Arabidopsis thaliana: one gene and its partners. The protein of the gene in region 2 interacts with the protein of the main gene of each other region in a pairwise test. Each region holds a gene or a part of one and is shown on either strand. Other genes may lie near its edges.

The links.
Region 1: the proteins of NF-YC12 (region 2) and NF-YB4 interact in binary tests that used the Arabidopsis thaliana proteins (3 or more experiments, as listed by UniProt).
Region 3: the proteins of NF-YC12 (region 2) and NF-YB10 interact in a two-hybrid assay, tested with the Arabidopsis thaliana proteins (2 studies listed by BioGRID).
Region 4: the proteins of NF-YC12 (region 2) and NF-YA1 interact in a two-hybrid assay, tested with the Arabidopsis thaliana proteins (one study listed by BioGRID).

The regions. Positions count from the first base shown.
Region 1 is NC_003070.9:2,908,101-2,910,951, forward strand, and holds NF-YB4 (nuclear factor Y, subunit B4), read right to left. Parts: upstream 933-2,851; 5' UTR 931-932; coding exon 511-930; downstream 1-510. UniProt on the Arabidopsis thaliana protein: Component of the NF-Y/HAP transcription factor complex. The NF-Y complex stimulates the transcription of various genes by recognizing and binding to a CCAAT motif in promoters.
Region 2 is NC_003076.8:15,219,698-15,224,488, reverse strand, and holds NF-YC12 (nuclear factor Y, subunit C12), read left to right. Parts: upstream 1-1,964; 5' UTR 1,965-2,271; intron 2,272-2,385; 5' UTR 2,386-2,463; coding exon 2,464-2,574; intron 2,575-2,656; coding exon 2,657-2,735; intron 2,736-2,833; coding exon 2,834-2,895; intron 2,896-3,140; coding exon 3,141-3,347; intron 3,348-3,421; coding exon 3,422-3,493; intron 3,494-3,595; coding exon 3,596-3,649; intron 3,650-4,109; coding exon 4,110-4,112; 3' UTR 4,113-4,281; downstream 4,282-4,791. UniProt on the Arabidopsis thaliana protein: Stimulates the transcription of various genes by recognizing and binding to a CCAAT motif in promoters.
Region 3 is NC_003074.8:19,773,829-19,778,095, reverse strand, and holds NF-YB10 (nuclear factor Y, subunit B10), read left to right. Parts: upstream 1-1,806; 5' UTR 1,807-2,014; exon of another isoform or gene 2,015-2,094; 5' UTR 2,095-2,104; coding exon 2,105-2,328; intron 2,329-2,489; coding exon 2,490-2,619; coding exon of another isoform or gene 2,620-2,640; exon of another isoform or gene 2,641-2,727; coding exon 2,728-2,733; coding exon of another isoform or gene 2,734-2,829; exon of another isoform or gene 2,830-2,869; coding exon 2,870-2,944; intron 2,945-3,040; coding exon 3,041-3,097; intron 3,098-3,390; coding exon 3,391-3,429; 3' UTR 3,430-3,767; downstream 3,768-4,267. Other genes in the region: AT3G53342 (uncharacterized protein), read right to left, coding at 743-961; AT3G53330 (plastocyanin-like domain-containing protein), read right to left, coding at 4,158-4,267.
Region 4 is NC_003076.8:4,050,220-4,055,258, reverse strand, and holds NF-YA1 (nuclear factor Y, subunit A1), read left to right. Parts: upstream 1-1,589; 5' UTR 1,590-1,981; intron 1,982-2,295; 5' UTR 2,296-2,297; coding exon 2,298-2,574; intron 2,575-2,927; coding exon 2,928-3,028; intron 3,029-3,179; coding exon 3,180-3,251; intron 3,252-3,562; coding exon 3,563-3,727; intron 3,728-3,908; coding exon 3,909-4,112; 3' UTR 4,113-4,479; downstream 4,480-5,039. UniProt on the Arabidopsis thaliana protein: Stimulates the transcription of various genes by recognizing and binding to a CCAAT motif in promoters.

The DNA of each region.
Region 1 (2,851 bases), on a different chromosome or scaffold from region 2:
TTTAAATGGTCAAGTCCCAATGCTCCTTTATTTTGGTTAACACTAGCCTCAGGCTCCAGAAGGCCATTAGGCATATGGGGATTAAAAAATATCATTGTTCTAGCCACTGTAACAGATCCATCAATGGATATATGCGGTAAGATATACAAAAAGCTCTTATTTTTTGGCCTATTATGTTTATGGAAAGCCTTGGATCGACCTATGCGGTGATATATATACCAAAAGGAAAAAGAAAACCAAAATCATCTTGCTAGTACCTTGTTTCTGCTATCTTCTCCTCTTCCTATTGTTCGAACCGACCAATATTCTAAGTCTAAATTACACGTTATTTGCTTGCAAGAAGAAATATCATAGATTTATATATATGTATGTAGAAACTCATGTTTAGAAATCAATTACAAACATGTACATTGTATTAATGATTCAACATTGACATTATTGAATCCTTCTGGTCTCTCTACAGATCTTTCTTGGCTTCATAGTAAATAATTCAGAACTTAGATGTCTAGTTCAACGGGCCGAGGAGCTGCTTCCCTTCTCAACAACTCTAATAAATTTTGTCGATTGGTTCTGTACATCACTTCTAGTGTTGGTTTCTTTCTCATTCCCACTATCATTGCTACCTTTGTTGTGCTCAGTTCTTTCTCTCTCGGCTTCACGGTACTTGTGAAGATGCCTACCCACGGCGTCAGCATAGTTATCGAGGCCGAGAGTGCTGAGAGCCCACCAGATGTCGTCTCCATTCACCGTCTTCCGATTCTCCCTGTGGCACTTCTCTGATGCTTCGCATGTAACAAAGCTTATGAACTCTGTTGCACATTCTTGAACTGTTTGTTTTGCTTCTTTTGAGATCTTTGCATTTGATGGTAGGATTTGCTTCATAAGTCTCCCTACATTGGCTATTGGCAACAATCTATCTTCGTCTGTCATTTTTCTCTTTTGTTTCAGTGAATCTATCAGCTCTCGCTTCTCTTATAACCTTTTTATACAAGTTGTCCTATATGACCCTCCCTCTCTCTATATATAGATTATATAGGGTGTGTATGTGTATGATGAGTAGATGTACTACTTGAACCTACTCTTAATTTATTACATACTATATATATAATATATGTCTAAGATTCTCTCTGTATATATGTATGTGAATTAAGCTTATATAAGCTATAGCAGAATCGTTTATACCTGTTTGGTGATTGTGGCTTAGCTTTGATCCATATGCATCATCAATCCGTCTAATACATACGGATATCTACGTACAGTACTGTATATGACAAGTTAATACTAAATTAATATCTAAAATTAAATCTTAACTTTAATTTTGATTAGAGCGTAGCTACTTTGGTAAAAGAAATTATTCTTGATGAAGCAATGGTTGGCTTATGGAATGTCAAAACCTTAATTGTATTATAGAAAATATGAAATTCGAGGCACGTAATCCGCATAATCCAGTACGGCCACTCGCATGCATTTGACCTTTGGTTTTAATATGTTTTAAAAATAAATACTTATTTAATTATTAGCAATACTGCGCAAAAATTCACCAAATCTATATAAAAGGCAATAGCTAAAAACAAAATATTGAGAAATTTCGTCGTTAGAAGTTAACCAATACAAATATTCAATGGGTCTATATTGGCCAAGTCATTGGTTTATATACTAAGAGCATGTGCATTTTAGATATGGGTTCAAACCCTAAGCATATTGTAAGCCACATGAGGCATTATGAAACGTCAAACTATCACGATTTTGTATCTTGTGGATTTGGATTTGGATTGTCTAAATATAATGATTTTATAATATTTTGTATAATCAAGAATTCCTAATGAATTGGTGATCGTAGGTGAACGTCTCTAGTCGAATATGTATCCTAATTTTTGGGGAAAATGATAAACCTTTCGTTTGGGAAAAAATATCGTAGAAGATGTGTGAACACACATTTTGTTCGAGTTCTTGCTAGTCTATTAACGGAAAGATGGAAAGTTTCAGGCATTTCCTTCTTCTTCTTTTTTTTTTTTTTTGGAGTTCTTAGAGCATTTCCTTTACATTCTGCACTTTATTCATGGTATAGAGAGGCTTAACTAATCATTATAATCTTTTTAAAGACATATATTTACGTAAGAACTTAGAATATACGCACTTAAAAAAAAAAACCTAGAATACGTCATTAATTAAAAACCGGATTATGCGATTTAAAAAGATGTTCTACATACTTCGAAACTGAGTTGACTTAACCATTCACAACCAATTAGAAAAAAAGTGTATGTAAAGTTTTATTTCTTTGTGAAAAGCATCACACTTTTTGCCCTTAATTTATCAATTGCATCACACTTCAATTGGAAAGTTGTTAACGGTCTCCTATTTTTTGCTTGCTAATTATATTGTATGCTTAAACATGATAATTAATAATTCGCCAATGCTGTCTTTTGTAACCCATGGAGTATTTTATTATTCTCATTTCATAGTGTATTGGTGGGTTTATTATTCTCTTTTCCAAATTCCAAGTCGGATCCCAAACTGAAAACAATTTTACGGTTTGCATGCCTTGAAATGATAGAAGAACCATATGGGCTTTCTGTTTTCTGATATTAAGTTTGTTTCACTTTTTCTTCGTCAATGGGTCCTTCAATTTTTAGCCCAATATTAACTTTGAAGTCCATCGACTGTTTTTTTAACCTTGGCTTAAAGGCTTCCATTCATCCACCTCGGCTTTAAGTGTTTTATCCAACACTTTTTTGAATTATTTTGGCAAAAGTACAACATATTGTTTGATCGTATGCCATATTTTGGATGTAAATTCTACTTCTAGTCTAGCATATGAGAGTTCAATATATATTATCTTGGGTCTCTTCAT
Region 2 (4,791 bases):
TGATAGAGAGAGTTGCAGCAGAGGAAAAAGTCGAAGAACTGCGGTTTAAAACGGAAGGGGGTTTGAGATTGTTGGAGAGTCTGAAGAAGGAAATCGAGGTTGCGAATGAGGAACATTTGATGGTTGCATTGGGAAAGATTGAGGCGTTGAAAGGATATAAAGAGATAGAAAGACAGAGAGAAGGGAAAGCTATAAAGGTTTTGGATTTGTTGGTGGAAAGGAATAAGAGAATCAAGAACATGTTGGAAGAGGCGGAAAGATCGAAGGATATTGAAATTGAGTTGTTTGAGACGAGTACGGATGTTGAGATGTTGGAAACACAGTTAAAGCTTTTCAAGAAAATGGAGAGGAGAGTTCAGGGGAGAGATAGTAGTAGTATGTCGAGATCAAACCGTTCTTTTGGAAGAGGGAAGTATAGTTTATCGGTTTTGAAAGAAGTGACTGAAGGGAAGAAGGAGGAACTTGCTTCTGTTAAAGTAGAGATCTTCAGGGTCATGACAGTAATGGATGCGTTGAGGAATGAGATTATCCGAGCCAGGGATGAAACAGCTTGCCTTGGAAAAATCTTGAGGGAAGATGATGTTAAGATTGAGAAACTCAACTCAAAGATTCTTATCGAAAAATCGAAGTTGGAAGTGGTATCTATCGCCGAAGAAAGGATTAGCTCTCTTGCTGAGAATTTCGTTGGTTCGCTTGAGAAGATAAAGAAAAGTAGAAATGCTGCAAAGAAAGAGGAGTTCCTTTTCAAAGAAGAGAAGACGGTTACAAAGGCGGAAACACAGAAAACCAAACTTGATATAGATAAAAAGGAAAGCGAACTGAATTCAAAGTTGGATGAGCTTGAAAAAGTGAAGCACACTGAGGCTTTAGTGCTTGAGAAGCTTGAATCTTTAGTAGAAGACATGATGGAGAGTCGCGAAATGGAGTCTGAGCATTGTTCAACAATCACTATCTCGAGGTTTGAGTACGAGTATTTGAGTAAACATGCTTCACAAGCGGAAGAAACCGCAGAGAAGAAAGTTGCAGCAGCAGCGGCGTGGGTGGAAGCACTCAAGGCTAGCACAAAATCGTTTCTGATGAAGACGGAAACTTTGATGAGAGAAAGTGAAATGACGAAAGCGGAAGAAGAGAGAGAAGTGTTTAGGATGGAAAGGTCATTGTCGACGAAGAGATTGGTGGAGGGTGAGATTCAGAAGATTAAGAGGAACTCGGAAGCTGAAGGCTATATTTCTCCCAAACCAGTTGGAAAATTCACACCGGTCCAACGTGGGAAGCCAAGAAGATACTCATCTGTTGGAACTCCAACTTTCTTTGTAATCAAGAAGAAAAAGAAAGTTCCACGCTTGGCCAAGTTCTTCAGTCGCAGAAGTTAAAAACTCAAATCATTTTGACTTCTGCGTTCAATAACAATTGCTAGAATCTCTAAGAAATCTAAATTCTATGAAATGATTCACATTCACATTCTTGTTCTTGTTCATTGTTGTGCATGATCATATAATACATGGAGTAGACTCATTCTAGCATACGATTGGTAACCATTGTTTTCATTGGCTTTCAACATTTATTTGTATGTTGCTGATCTTTATGAATACACTAGGCCAGTTAGAGGAAGAATTTTTCTCCTGGGTCTGTTCTGTCATGAACTTAGAGTTTCTGTATGTAATTTTGGTTATAGTTGTCTGAAAATGTTGATTTCTGGGTACCATGTAGTGCATATGTTTGGTACTGGTTTGACAATGTGTGAGCATAGTTATATGAATTATTTGTTCTATATCTTTTTTGGGTTCATGGTTTGTGGAATCTTAAAGAGCAACAAGATCTAGGGTGTTGGTCACTGTTCGCTATGGTCTGTTTCTGTGAAAGTTGGTGTCTAACTGATACCATAATCAAGAAATAGGATATATTTATTTTTACTAATGTAAATGTTTGTAAAATCGTTTGCTTGTTTTTATGCCATTACATTTCTATCATTTGTGGAAGTTAAGAGTTACCAAAATCAGAACTCAATAAACTTGATGTGGCTTTGATCTAATCCAGGTTTACTTGTGTGACAACTTCATTGATGAGACTGGATCACATTTAGATGAGTTGTGGCATATTGATATCTTTGGGTTCTTGAAATTACATTTAGACTATGTGCTCTTACTATATAGACTGAATTCGGTCATCAGGTTTCTTCTACGCAGCGCGTGGCTTTCACGGAAAAGGTCTGCGAGTGGTTCTTTCGTATGTATGCCTCACGAGCTCCACGAGGTATATCCTTACTAACGTGTGAGTATTAAATGTTTTCCTCTTTATTCCAGAAAAGTTTGTTCACAATCTTTAAAAGGAATCTCTTAGTCATTGGTACACTCTTAAATGACTATTATTACGTTATGATTCTAGCTCCATATATAGAGAACCCTTGTTCTTGCCAAACTCTACATCTTCAAAGATTTTTCATCATCTGTTGTGAAATATAACATGAGGAGGCCAAAGTCATCTCACGTCAGGATGGAACCTGTTGCGCCTCGTTCACATAACACGATGCCAATGCTTGATCAATTTCGATCTAATCATCCTGAAACAAGCAAGGTAAATTTAGTCAGTCCTAGTTCTGTGTTTTTGGCTTAAAGTCTTTTTATGTATGTTTCTTTAACATTTTGGTCTTAAACAGATCGAGGGGGTCTCTTCGTTGGACACAGCTCTGAAGGTGTTTTGGAATAATCAAAGGGAGCAGCTAGGAAACTTTGCAGGTGACTGATATTAAGAGATGTTTAGAGTACCTAAATAGGAAAAAAGAGTGCATTGACACCTAAATGCTAATTCTTCGACTTGTTTTGGTTACCTACAGGCCAAACTCATTTGCCGCTATCTAGGGTCAGAAAGATTTTGAAATCTGATCCTGAAGTCAAGGTATGTGAGGTTAACTTGAATTATGTTGGCTGGTCTAGAGTTTCTGAAATTGCCATTATGATCAAATTTGTTAGTCTGTTGAGTTTTACTGTTAGAATGTTTTAGTGTTGTTTATTTTTACTGTTCCTTTGACATCTTTCTAAGGTTGATATCAATACTTATAGACAAGATATATGTGACATCAAAGATTTGAAGAAATATGTTTGTTATTACAATTTTTTCCTAAGATATATGTGAATTTTCAGAAGATAAGCTGTGATGTTCCTGCTTTGTTTTCGAAAGCCTGTGAATACTTCATTCTAGAGGTAACATTACGAGCTTGGATGCATACTCAATCATGCACTCGTGAGACCATCCGGCGTTGTGATATCTTCCAGGCCGTAAAGAACTCAGGAACTTATGATTTCCTGATTGATCGTGTCCCTTTTGGACCGCACTGTGTCACCCATCAGGTTAGCTCCTTTTCGCAATCTTACTCGTGAAATCAAAAAAATTATGTTTTCATGTGCTAAATCTTTCTGTTCAGGGTGTGCAACCTCCTGCTGAAATGATTTTGCCGGATATGAATGTTCCAATCGATATGGACCAGATTGAGGAGGTGATTATTTTACTTAATAATTGGTATTATCTGAAACAAAGCATTTTAATGCGATGCTAAGTTAGAATTCATGTTCGTTTATTGCATTTGCACCAAAACCAGGAGAATATGATGGAAGAGCGCTCTGTCGGGTTTGACCTCAACTGTGATCTCCAGGTAGTTTTCTTTGAGCTTCTATTCATACAACAATTGCATTAGTGTATAGTTTCTGTTTTGCAAACATTTTAGATTGAGGATGCACTAGTAAACATATTGTTAGAGAACCCATTTAGAAAAGAACTTCATAGTAGCTTCAATTTGAGAGCAATCTTGCTAGCATCATTGTTAGGACTTAACAGATTTGTGCATAGAGACTAACTAGATAGGGGATAAATATATAAAGGTGTATCCAGAGAAATCCATGAGACATTTGGCATTTGCAGTATTTGATTCATTGAAGGATTTCAATTTGATATCTTGTTGTTTTTTGAGTAGTTAGTTGATACTTGTTGATGAATGCGATACCGAGTTAATTTACTTACGGACTGCGAATAGAAAATAAGAAACCATTTGGTTGTTTGTTCCTTAAGATTTATGTTCTTGCTATGGATTTGTACTTGTGGCTTCGGATCTGCAGTGAACATGAAGCTGCTCTGGAAGACAAAAACTTGAAGAAGAGAAGAAATCTGAAGAGGAATCACCCAACAACTCTATGTTATGTTCACCTTATAATAGTTTATCATAAACTCATTCACTAAACTATGTGTATTATTTATTGTTCCTGAATAAAAATACAATGTTTCGGTGTTTCCTCCTAAACCAAAAAAGAATAATACAATGTTTGATATTTTTACTTATGTAATTTATTTTTTTATTTATTTTATTTTGTTTTTTTTGTCATTTGCACGAAAAAGTTTTCTACACATTTTGATGAACACGTTTTAGGTGGATCTATTTTGGTTTCTCTCTTTAATAATGTCCATGGGTGGGGCACAACTCTGTACAACACCATAACTTTTCGTATCCTTAGTTTTGTATGGCCACTCTTTTGCCACTTCGGAATATTTGCCAAAACTAATGTTAACCAAAACTAATGCTTGTCAAATCATATTGTACCGAAAAATGTAAAGTATGGTGCCAAAGTAAGGTTTAACATCAAAGGACACCAAATGATGTCGAGGAAGGATGTAATTAACTAATGGTATGACATGTAAGCAAGAGATATATTTTTCTTCTATATTCTATGAAAATTGTTTACCAAAATATGTTTGTTTTTAAGTATGGACGGTGAAGTAAACGACACTCCGTCATATAAAATC
Region 3 (4,267 bases), on a different chromosome or scaffold from region 2:
CTATGTTTATATCCTCTATTAAAATATCGGACATGTTCATAAAATAGCAGGTTGAAGACACCGGGTTCCCATGTCGAACCACTAAAGTGAAGCTAAAGGCCTTTGACACCATTTACTAAACTTTGAAACTTTGACTATGGTTGTGACTCGAATAGTTAAAACACAAATAGCTGGAGAAAAAATTAGAACCATGACATTAATAATTAAATAAAATATACATCACAGATGAGCATCGAGCAAGACATATATGATTTGCTTACCTATTACCTTCATCATGAACAGAAATTCTCAGTGTAATGATTGCTAAGAAATTCTTAGTGTAATAATTTTTAAGCCACTTTGTATCTACCATTGCACCTATAAAAGGATGTATTAGCAAAAACACATGAAACATGTTATAAAGAAGAGAAGTAACAAAGTGTGAATCAGTATCACCACATTTGGACGATACAAAAGCTACACAAAACAAATATTAAAATTATAAAAATGAGAGAGAGAAACTTGATTTTAGTTCATTTCTTTAGTGAAAATGAGAAAAATAAAAAACAACGTAATACAGAGGACGAAGCAAACCTTTGAGATTACCATTCTTTGGTTTCTCCAATCCGTCATACTCATATGGTTCGTGCTTTGTCTTTTTTTCTCTTTACTTTCAATTTAATTATGTGGAAAGACTTAGCAGACCACAAAATATTATTTCGATGTTTAAACAATCCCGAAAGCAACACAGAATGATAGAAGTTTAAAAGGAGTTGTAAGAAACAAACCTTGAGGAACCGATGTTAATGTTGTTCCTATGAAGAATCCTACCAGGAGCAACGTCACCACCATCGATCAACTCTCTAAGCCCCCAATTCTCCACCTCCTCTTCTTTCACCTCCTTCTTCTTCTCCTTCTCCACATGGCGGTTATTAGGAAGCTTCACAGGCAACCTCTCGAAGTAATTCCCGAAACTTACCATGCACGTTTTTATTATCTTCGTATAGAAAGAATGAAGCTTCAACCTCAAGCGTTAACAAATGCAGAGAAACCAACTTAAAAAAAACTGACATGCAGCGTCTTGCATTTTATAAGGTGAAGGGTTACACTAAAAATGATATTAAATATGATACTAAATATTGAAATCATGGTCATAATTACATAAATGATAATTATGTTAGTGTAACGTAACTGCTTTGATTTATGAAATAGAACAGTTTAGTTGACTAAAAAAAAAACAGCAATAGTTAGACATAATAAATAAAAGAAAACGTGATATCACATGTGTCATTAAATAGAATATTAATTAAACTCAAAGAATATGGAAAATAGTATATTTAAATTTAAGAAGAATGACACATGTCGAATGAATAAAGCGCCACTTGTAAGATTTTTAGAGCACAAGTTTGAGGAAACCTTACTTTATTATATAAGATACTAGGTTTTATTACAAAACTAATACTATTTTGATTCCAAACAAATATATATTTGCTTAAATGACAGAATAAAAACTGAATAAAACAATAAAGATAACAAGAAAAACAGTAAACCACTTAAATAATTAAATTAGACAATTAAATAAGTAGAAATTACATGTCACTGAGAAAAACCACTTATCATAACAACTATTTAGATAAATTAAATCCACTTACATAAATACAATGTATATAAAAAAGAAATCATGTTTTTTTACTATAGTTTACATGATAGAAGAAAAAAATTCACTACATTGAAATAAATCTTATATATTTTATTTCACCTAATTACTAAAAAAAGCAGAACAAAGAAACATTGTTGAGGAAAAAACAAAAGAGTTTTTTTTGTTTGTTTGGTTTTGTCAAATTAACAAAAAAAAAATGAACGGTGTCGATAAAAAAATAAAAAAGCCCTAAATCGTTGAATCGCATACAAGCTCCTATCTTCTCCAGCGTCGGATCAGATCAGATCAAATCTCTCTCTCCATCTCCGTCTCCTCCTCCAATCATCATTTCTCTCTCCGTCTCCCGCTCTTTTTCGAATTCTCCTTCTTCTTCAGGTATTCTAATCACTTCTTCGCGCTTTCTGGGTTTGGTTCCTCGATTCTCCCGATTTCCCAATCTCTACCTGATTATCTAGGGTTTCTGAGATGGCCGAATCGCAAACCGGTGGTGGTGGTGGTGGAAGCCATGAGAGTGGCGGTGATCAGAGCCCGAGGTCTTTGAATGTTCGTGAGCAGGACAGGTTTCTTCCGATTGCTAACATAAGCCGTATCATGAAGAGAGGTTTACCTCTAAATGGCAAAATCGCTAAAGATGCTAAAGAGACTATGCAGGAATGTGTCTCTGAATTCATCAGCTTCGTCACCAGCGAGTAATTTCTTTCTCTACTTTCTCAAAAATGTTACCTTTTTGTTGCTTTGGTGGTTATAGCGTGTAAAGCCCTCTTCTTTGTTAAGTTAGATTGATGTTATATTCATTGGGTTGTTAAGCAAAGTCACTATGTCGATTTTGGAATATTGTTTTGCCTTTTAGGGCTAGTGATAAGTGCCAAAGAGAGAAAAGGAAGACCATCAATGGAGATGATTTGCTTTGGGCTATGGCCACTTTAGGATTCGAAGATTACATCGATCCCCTCAAGGTTTACCTGATGCGATATAGAGAGGTATGTTCCACTTCAGATTAGTCAGTTTACATTCTGCTATACATTCACTGACTCTCTGTTTTTCCTTCTCATTTCCTTGTCTATGCTATTTGGATTGGAATTTTGCAGATGGAGGTTCGTGGTTCTCCTCTTTCATTTATCTTTCTGATAGTCGAATTTTGTACGTGGATCCTTTTATGGGGTATATGGTGTATGATTGTATCTAATTAGGATTGTCTGCTACCCTTTGCTATTGTTATCTGTCTGATAGGGTGACACTAAAGGATCAGGAAAAGGCGGGGAATCGAGTGCAAAGAGAGATGGTCAACCAAGCCAAGTGTCTCAGGTAATGACTCGGTCTTCTCCAGTTGATATGGTCGTTTACCTAAGCATTAGCTTCTCCAGCTAATTTATTGTTTCCCTGTCTTTACTTTCTGAACAGTTCTCGCAGGTTCCTCAACAAGGCTCATTCTCACAGGGTCCTTATGGAAACTCTCAAGTAAGTGTTTTCCGACAAAAGAAATGTTGATACTTATAAATGAATTCATTCTCTACATAGAGCAGAGCCGGGGTATAAAGAGAGAATATTATTAACAATTAAAGGATTTAAGGACTTTAATAGACTCGATAAAACCGTCATATATGCATTATCCACTTTTTGAAATCTAGACATAGGTTCTCATATGTTCCAGTCTCTGAGGTTCGGCAATAGCATCGAGCATCTTGAAGTGTTAATGGTATTTGTAATCTATCAATATGCAGATAATTGATTAAACTCGTTTGTGAATGTAGGGTTCGAATATGATGGTTCAAATGCCGGGCACAGAGTAGTACTAGGACACTATTCATCACAATCTTCCGAGACTCGACTATGCCTGTTGTGTCTGAGAATCTGAGTGATCCACTTTCCATAGATATGGATTGTGGTATCTCAGTTTTTGGGAGAGAGAAGATTTGTATATGATTGTGTTGTAGGGAGAAGAGTTTGGTTTGCTTATGATAAGAATTGAAAAGCACCTTTTTTTTCTTTTGACTGTTATGTTTCTTAGGTTTTGGTCTTAAGCAGAAGCTATTTATCACCACTTCATTGGCCTGTTGATTCTTTCATGCAAGTGAGCCCGTAACTTTTATAAAACAACATCATGATTTATAATTATCTCTTTGATTTTTTGGTCCTAAATTCGAGTTTCATTTGACATCATCCATTGATAAAAAGAAACGAAACTTGATATTGAATCGTTGTGGTGTGGTAAAATTCACGATCTAAGTTTGTGATAACACTCCGTTTATCTGTTGGTGTATATTGATAAGGCTTTCTGTTACTGCTCAGAATCTAACACATGGGACATGTGAATGTCATATGGAACATGTTCATGTTTATGGGCCTAATCTTGATCAAACAAAAATAAAAACTTTGAAATTTAAGAAAAACTGAATAACAGAATCTAAATGAAACAATAGTAAGAATAAAAAGACCAAAAACTCTTTAAAAGAGCAAAACCAAAACCTAAAACTCTTGAACTAAACTCAATGCTTAGTGATGAGGTCTGAAAGGGTAACTACCATCTGTTGACGGTAGGTGACAACTTCTTCTTGGGAACATTCGGGAAAGTAACAGCTTCGGTTGATGGTTGCACCGTGACTCGAAGCTTAATCCCAGCCTGACAAA
Region 4 (5,039 bases), about 11 Mb from region 2:
TCCCACAAAACCGCGATAGTAATCAAGAAAGTTAAACGGATTGCATGTCAGTATTTACTAGTTCGAAACTTGGTTGGTATGAACTGCATGTTAATTATATTTTTAATGACTTCAAAGTGTTTGCTTAATGTTTTTAGTTATGATTTTATGTTTAAATTATAGATAATCTCTAGAACAAAACCAAACGTTTTAGCGGTTATTTTGATCAACAATATGATTGATATATACTAAAGATGGCATATCTATAGATGATTATAACTAGGTATACAAAATAAGTAAACCATAGCATCTTAAAAACAATTCTACTATAAACGATATTTTTGTTTGTTTGTGTAGACCTTTGATATTCATTGATATCATCACTTACTGAAAAAATAAAAAATTGAATAAGCAAAAAGCTGAATACCGACGACTGTCGATCCTTAAACTCACGAATCACGATTGTCAAACGCACGCTCACGGCTCACGGGAAGCTTTAGCCGCTATGATAAACGGTATCTTTTATCTAGGCGGCCAAAACTTTGTTCACCATAACACTTCAAACACAAATGTAGACCATTACACATATATAATCAAATGGTTTCCACTTAATATATGTTAGTATTCAAAATAACAAGATATTTTAAAAGCATAACAAGAGTTAGTGTCTCTATTTTCTCCCCACCTTCTTTCTAAATATAAATATTGCGTATGATTCATCATTTTCGCCTTTTTTTAATGGCTAACGTTCGGTGGTTGAGTGTCTGAGTGTCTGAGTGTCTGAGTCATATGCTATATATTATGCTTTGTCATTTTCCATATCATATTTGTGTATCCCCTTGTCCATGACCGATTAATTAATTTCGCTCTCACAACAAACACTTCACTAGAGAAAATATAATTACCATCTGTTCCCCTGAAACAATACATAATCAATGATGATATCAACATCAAGTGTTATAGTGAGAAATGCACAGCGAAATTTCTCAATTCGGTTTAGTATTCCAACAAATAAATCAATTATTGTTCACAAAGACGATCTGGCCAAAACTCATATAAATGTTATGTGTTATGGATCCTTTAATCTCCGTAATAACACCAAATTACTAAACTTCGAACGTATTTTACCTTTTGTAACCATTTAATATGATTTTAATAAACTTTTCATAGTTTTTTTTTTTACCTACAATTATTTATGGAAAATATTTTTTTCAGTTGTATTATTATTATTATTTTCTTAAAACAACTATATTTTTTTCATGAAGGGAAAACACTTTATATTATTTTGTGAAAGAAAGAAATTACAAATATTGAACTAATTAACTTATTTCTTTAACAAAAAAAAATCTTTTAATTGTTTTTGCCAATAGGGTCCCCACATTTTACAGGTGTCCCTCGTCCCAGCCCATCACTTGCGTGTCACTTGGACCCAAATTTCTCCTGTTTTTTAAAAGAAATTTAATTTCTTTCTAGTATATAAGAAAAAACAAAACAAATTAAAAATGAACCTATGATAACGTCAGCCGGAGAAGATCCCAGATCTGCGCGCGCTGGCATCTTTCATAGAGCGCCACGTGGCAAAAAGATTTTTCACTTTCGTAAGTGATCTTATCAAATCTCGGTCTTTTGTGTAAATTCATCATCATCATATAACTTACTCTATTTCGATTTTTCAATAAATTACTTAATATCAAAAACCACAATTCTGGCAAAAAAGAAAAATCCCCAAAATCTAGGGTTTTCTTCTCGCCCAATTTCACTTTTCTTCTACGAAATTCTCCATTCCTGCCGGCTGTCGGGTTTTCTGAATCGATTCTCCTTCACCAACTTCTTCTCTGGTTCTGTTCGATTCTGATTTTTTTTCAAGGTCAATTTTTTCTTCTCTTTAAACTCTGCAAAATCGTGATCGATTAAATTCACCTCAGGGTTTTTTGATTTCTGAAAGAAGTTAATCTTCTTCGAAGGCGATTGCAAAAGAGTGCTCTGCTGTGAATTTCCACTGGTATGTTCAATTTTTTCTGTTTTTGAAATTTTGTTTGCTAGAATTCGTGAAGGGATTGAAAAAATTGATGCAGGTGGCTAAAGAATCTCTTGAATATTACGAGCTTATGTAGGTTTAGAGTGTAAATTCGAGACATGTGAGATTTTGGTGCTTTCTCATATTTTTGCATGCTTCTGCATTGCTTCATAGCCCTAAAATTGCTCTCTTTTTTTTGTAGTTGGAGTCTGTATCTTTTTCACGGTTTTAGTGATGAATTTTTTTTTTTGATTGGATTTTGAATTGGTTACTGAACATGTGTTGACTTGATTATGTAGAGATGCAATCAAAACCGGGAAGAGAAAACGAAGAGGAAGTCAATAATCACCATGCTGTTCAGCAGCCGATGATGTATGCAGAGCCCTGGTGGAAAAACAACTCCTTTGGTGTTGTACCTCAAGCGAGACCTTCTGGAATTCCATCAAATTCCTCTTCTTTGGATTGCCCCAATGGTTCCGAGTCAAACGATGTTCATTCAGCATCTGAAGACGGTGCGTTGAATGGTGAAAACGATGGCACTTGGAAGGATTCACAAGCTGCAACTTCCTCTCGTTCAGGTTTGAGTTCTTGGTCTTTAGGCCTACTTGGTGTATTGTTCATATTCATCATTTCTGCAGTACTGTTTTACTGGATGACCTAGTGATCACTGTCGAAAGTGATGTTGTTCCACGTTCGGAATGTTGCAACTTGGTGAAGAGTTGTTCCTCAAGCAGGCAGGGAAATTAAATGGGCATTTGTGTGATTCGGCACTATAGGGCGTGTCAAGTTCATGAATCTGGTCCTTGAAATATACTTGCATTGTAATTGTAGGGTTTCATAGTTCTATCCATGCCAAGGAGATTCTGTCTCGTTGATATGTGCATTGTGATTTCTTTATTTTGTTTGTAATGGTGTCTTTCTTCAACTTCAGTAGATAATCACGGAATGGAAGGAAATGACCCAGCGCTCTCTATCCGTAACATGCATGATCAGCCACTTGTACAACCACCAGAGCTTGTTGGACACTATATCGTATGTGGTTTCCTCTCATTCCTTAATATATATATATATATGCTTTATGAGTTCTTGAGCTGTTAAATTGACTTCTTATTGGTCCCTCAAAAGGATTTATCTTGTATAACGCCCTTTTCATATGTATGATAAACTCAAAACTTCCTTACAGGCTTGTGTCCCAAACCCATATCAGGATCCATATTATGGGGGATTGATGGGAGCATATGGTCATCAGCAATTGGTATCTTGTCGAAACCTCTTTCAATCTCTACAATAGTTCCATATGGTGCAGTGTTTATTTGATGTATGTGCGCTTTTGCCACTAAGTACCCGTTTGTGGTGATTTTATTTACTGTTGGAATGTGTCTGGGTTCAGCAATAGTCAGTGAGATGCTTTTAAAGTTCATTTCTGAAATAACTGAGAATCCAAAGTTATATCTGAAATTATCGAGAACAACTAATGGGGATTCTTGGGGTCTTATAAGTTATATGTAAAGTTTTCGATGATCTGAGTCTATTTGTTGCATTTATTTTGTTCATTGGTTTAAACAGGGTTTTCGTCCATATCTTGGAATGCCTCGTGAAAGAACAGCTCTGCCACTTGACATGGCACAAGAGCCCGTTTATGTGAATGCAAAGCAGTACGAGGGAATTCTAAGGCGAAGAAAAGCACGTGCCAAGGCAGAGCTAGAGAGGAAAGTCATCCGGGACAGAAAGGTATTTTTTTCTCATTTATGAAAATTGTACTTGATTGGTGTCCTGGTAATCTAAGGATGGTGTAGAGTCCATAATAGAAGTGGACCCATGCTATATGAAGGATTGATAATGAGCATTAAGAATTTGCAAGTTTGGTTTGTCGCTCGGTAAACTTGTATTGACTATGTTTGAAATGCGACAGCCATATCTTCACGAGTCAAGACACAAGCATGCAATGAGAAGGGCACGAGCGAGTGGAGGCCGGTTTGCGAAGAAAAGTGAGGTAGAAGCGGGAGAGGATGCAGGAGGGAGAGACAGAGAAAGGGGTTCAGCAACCAACTCATCAGGCTCTGAACAAGTTGAGACAGACTCTAATGAGACCCTGAATTCTTCTGGTGCACCATAATAAAAAAAGCCAAAGCTCTGAGAGGAGAGAGAGACACACACTTTGGCTAATATAATCATTGCCTCAAACCGGCAAATCATTCTTGGCTTTTTCGTTTTTGTGTTTGCTAGTTGTTCTTGTCAGAGTCTCATATTGTGTGGGTTTAACAGTTATGATGAATGTACAAAGAGCGAGTTATGTTAGGTGTTAGATTTTGGAGACAAGAGACTAAGGAATAGCAAGTAGGTCTTGTTTTTATTCTTTGACCTTTTTTTTCTCTTTTGCAAAATTGAAAAATACGTTTGCTTAATCGTTTGCCTTTCTGACCACAAAGTGTTAACAAGGCTATAACAATGCTTCAGATTTGTAGTCAAATTCTCTGTTTTCGCCAACTTAAACATTATTTGACCGGAGGAGAGTGATTAGAAAGTAGAAGAAACCTATTAAACATTATGTTTTGCAAAGAAAAAAAAAACAGCTTGCAATAAGTTGCATAGTTTGCTCATGGAAGTTTCAAGTTTGCATATAAACCAGATTTGAAAAGGACAGTGAAAAAAAAGAAGTTGTTAAATCTACAACGGGCAGATCGATTATTTATATCAACAAAAAACACGAAGAGCATATGAAAGAGAATATGGAAACACATAAAAAATTAAGAGTTGTCATTCTTTGAATCCCCGCAAGCAAGAAGAAGAAGAAGAAGAAGAGAGTCAATTTGTGTGTTTTGTCATTTGAAGAAGAGAGAGAAAGAGGAAGACTTTGACTCGTCTTCTTCCTCTCTTCTTCTCTCTCTATCACTGCATTTGTTTTTCCTCACAGCGTATGATGACTTTTCTCTTTAATTTATCCTTTTTAGCTACATATCTTCTTTTGCTTCAACTGATTTATACCCATTTAAATGTTTCTACCCATTATAAGTTCTGAGGTCTGTGTTTTCCCTCTTTCCCT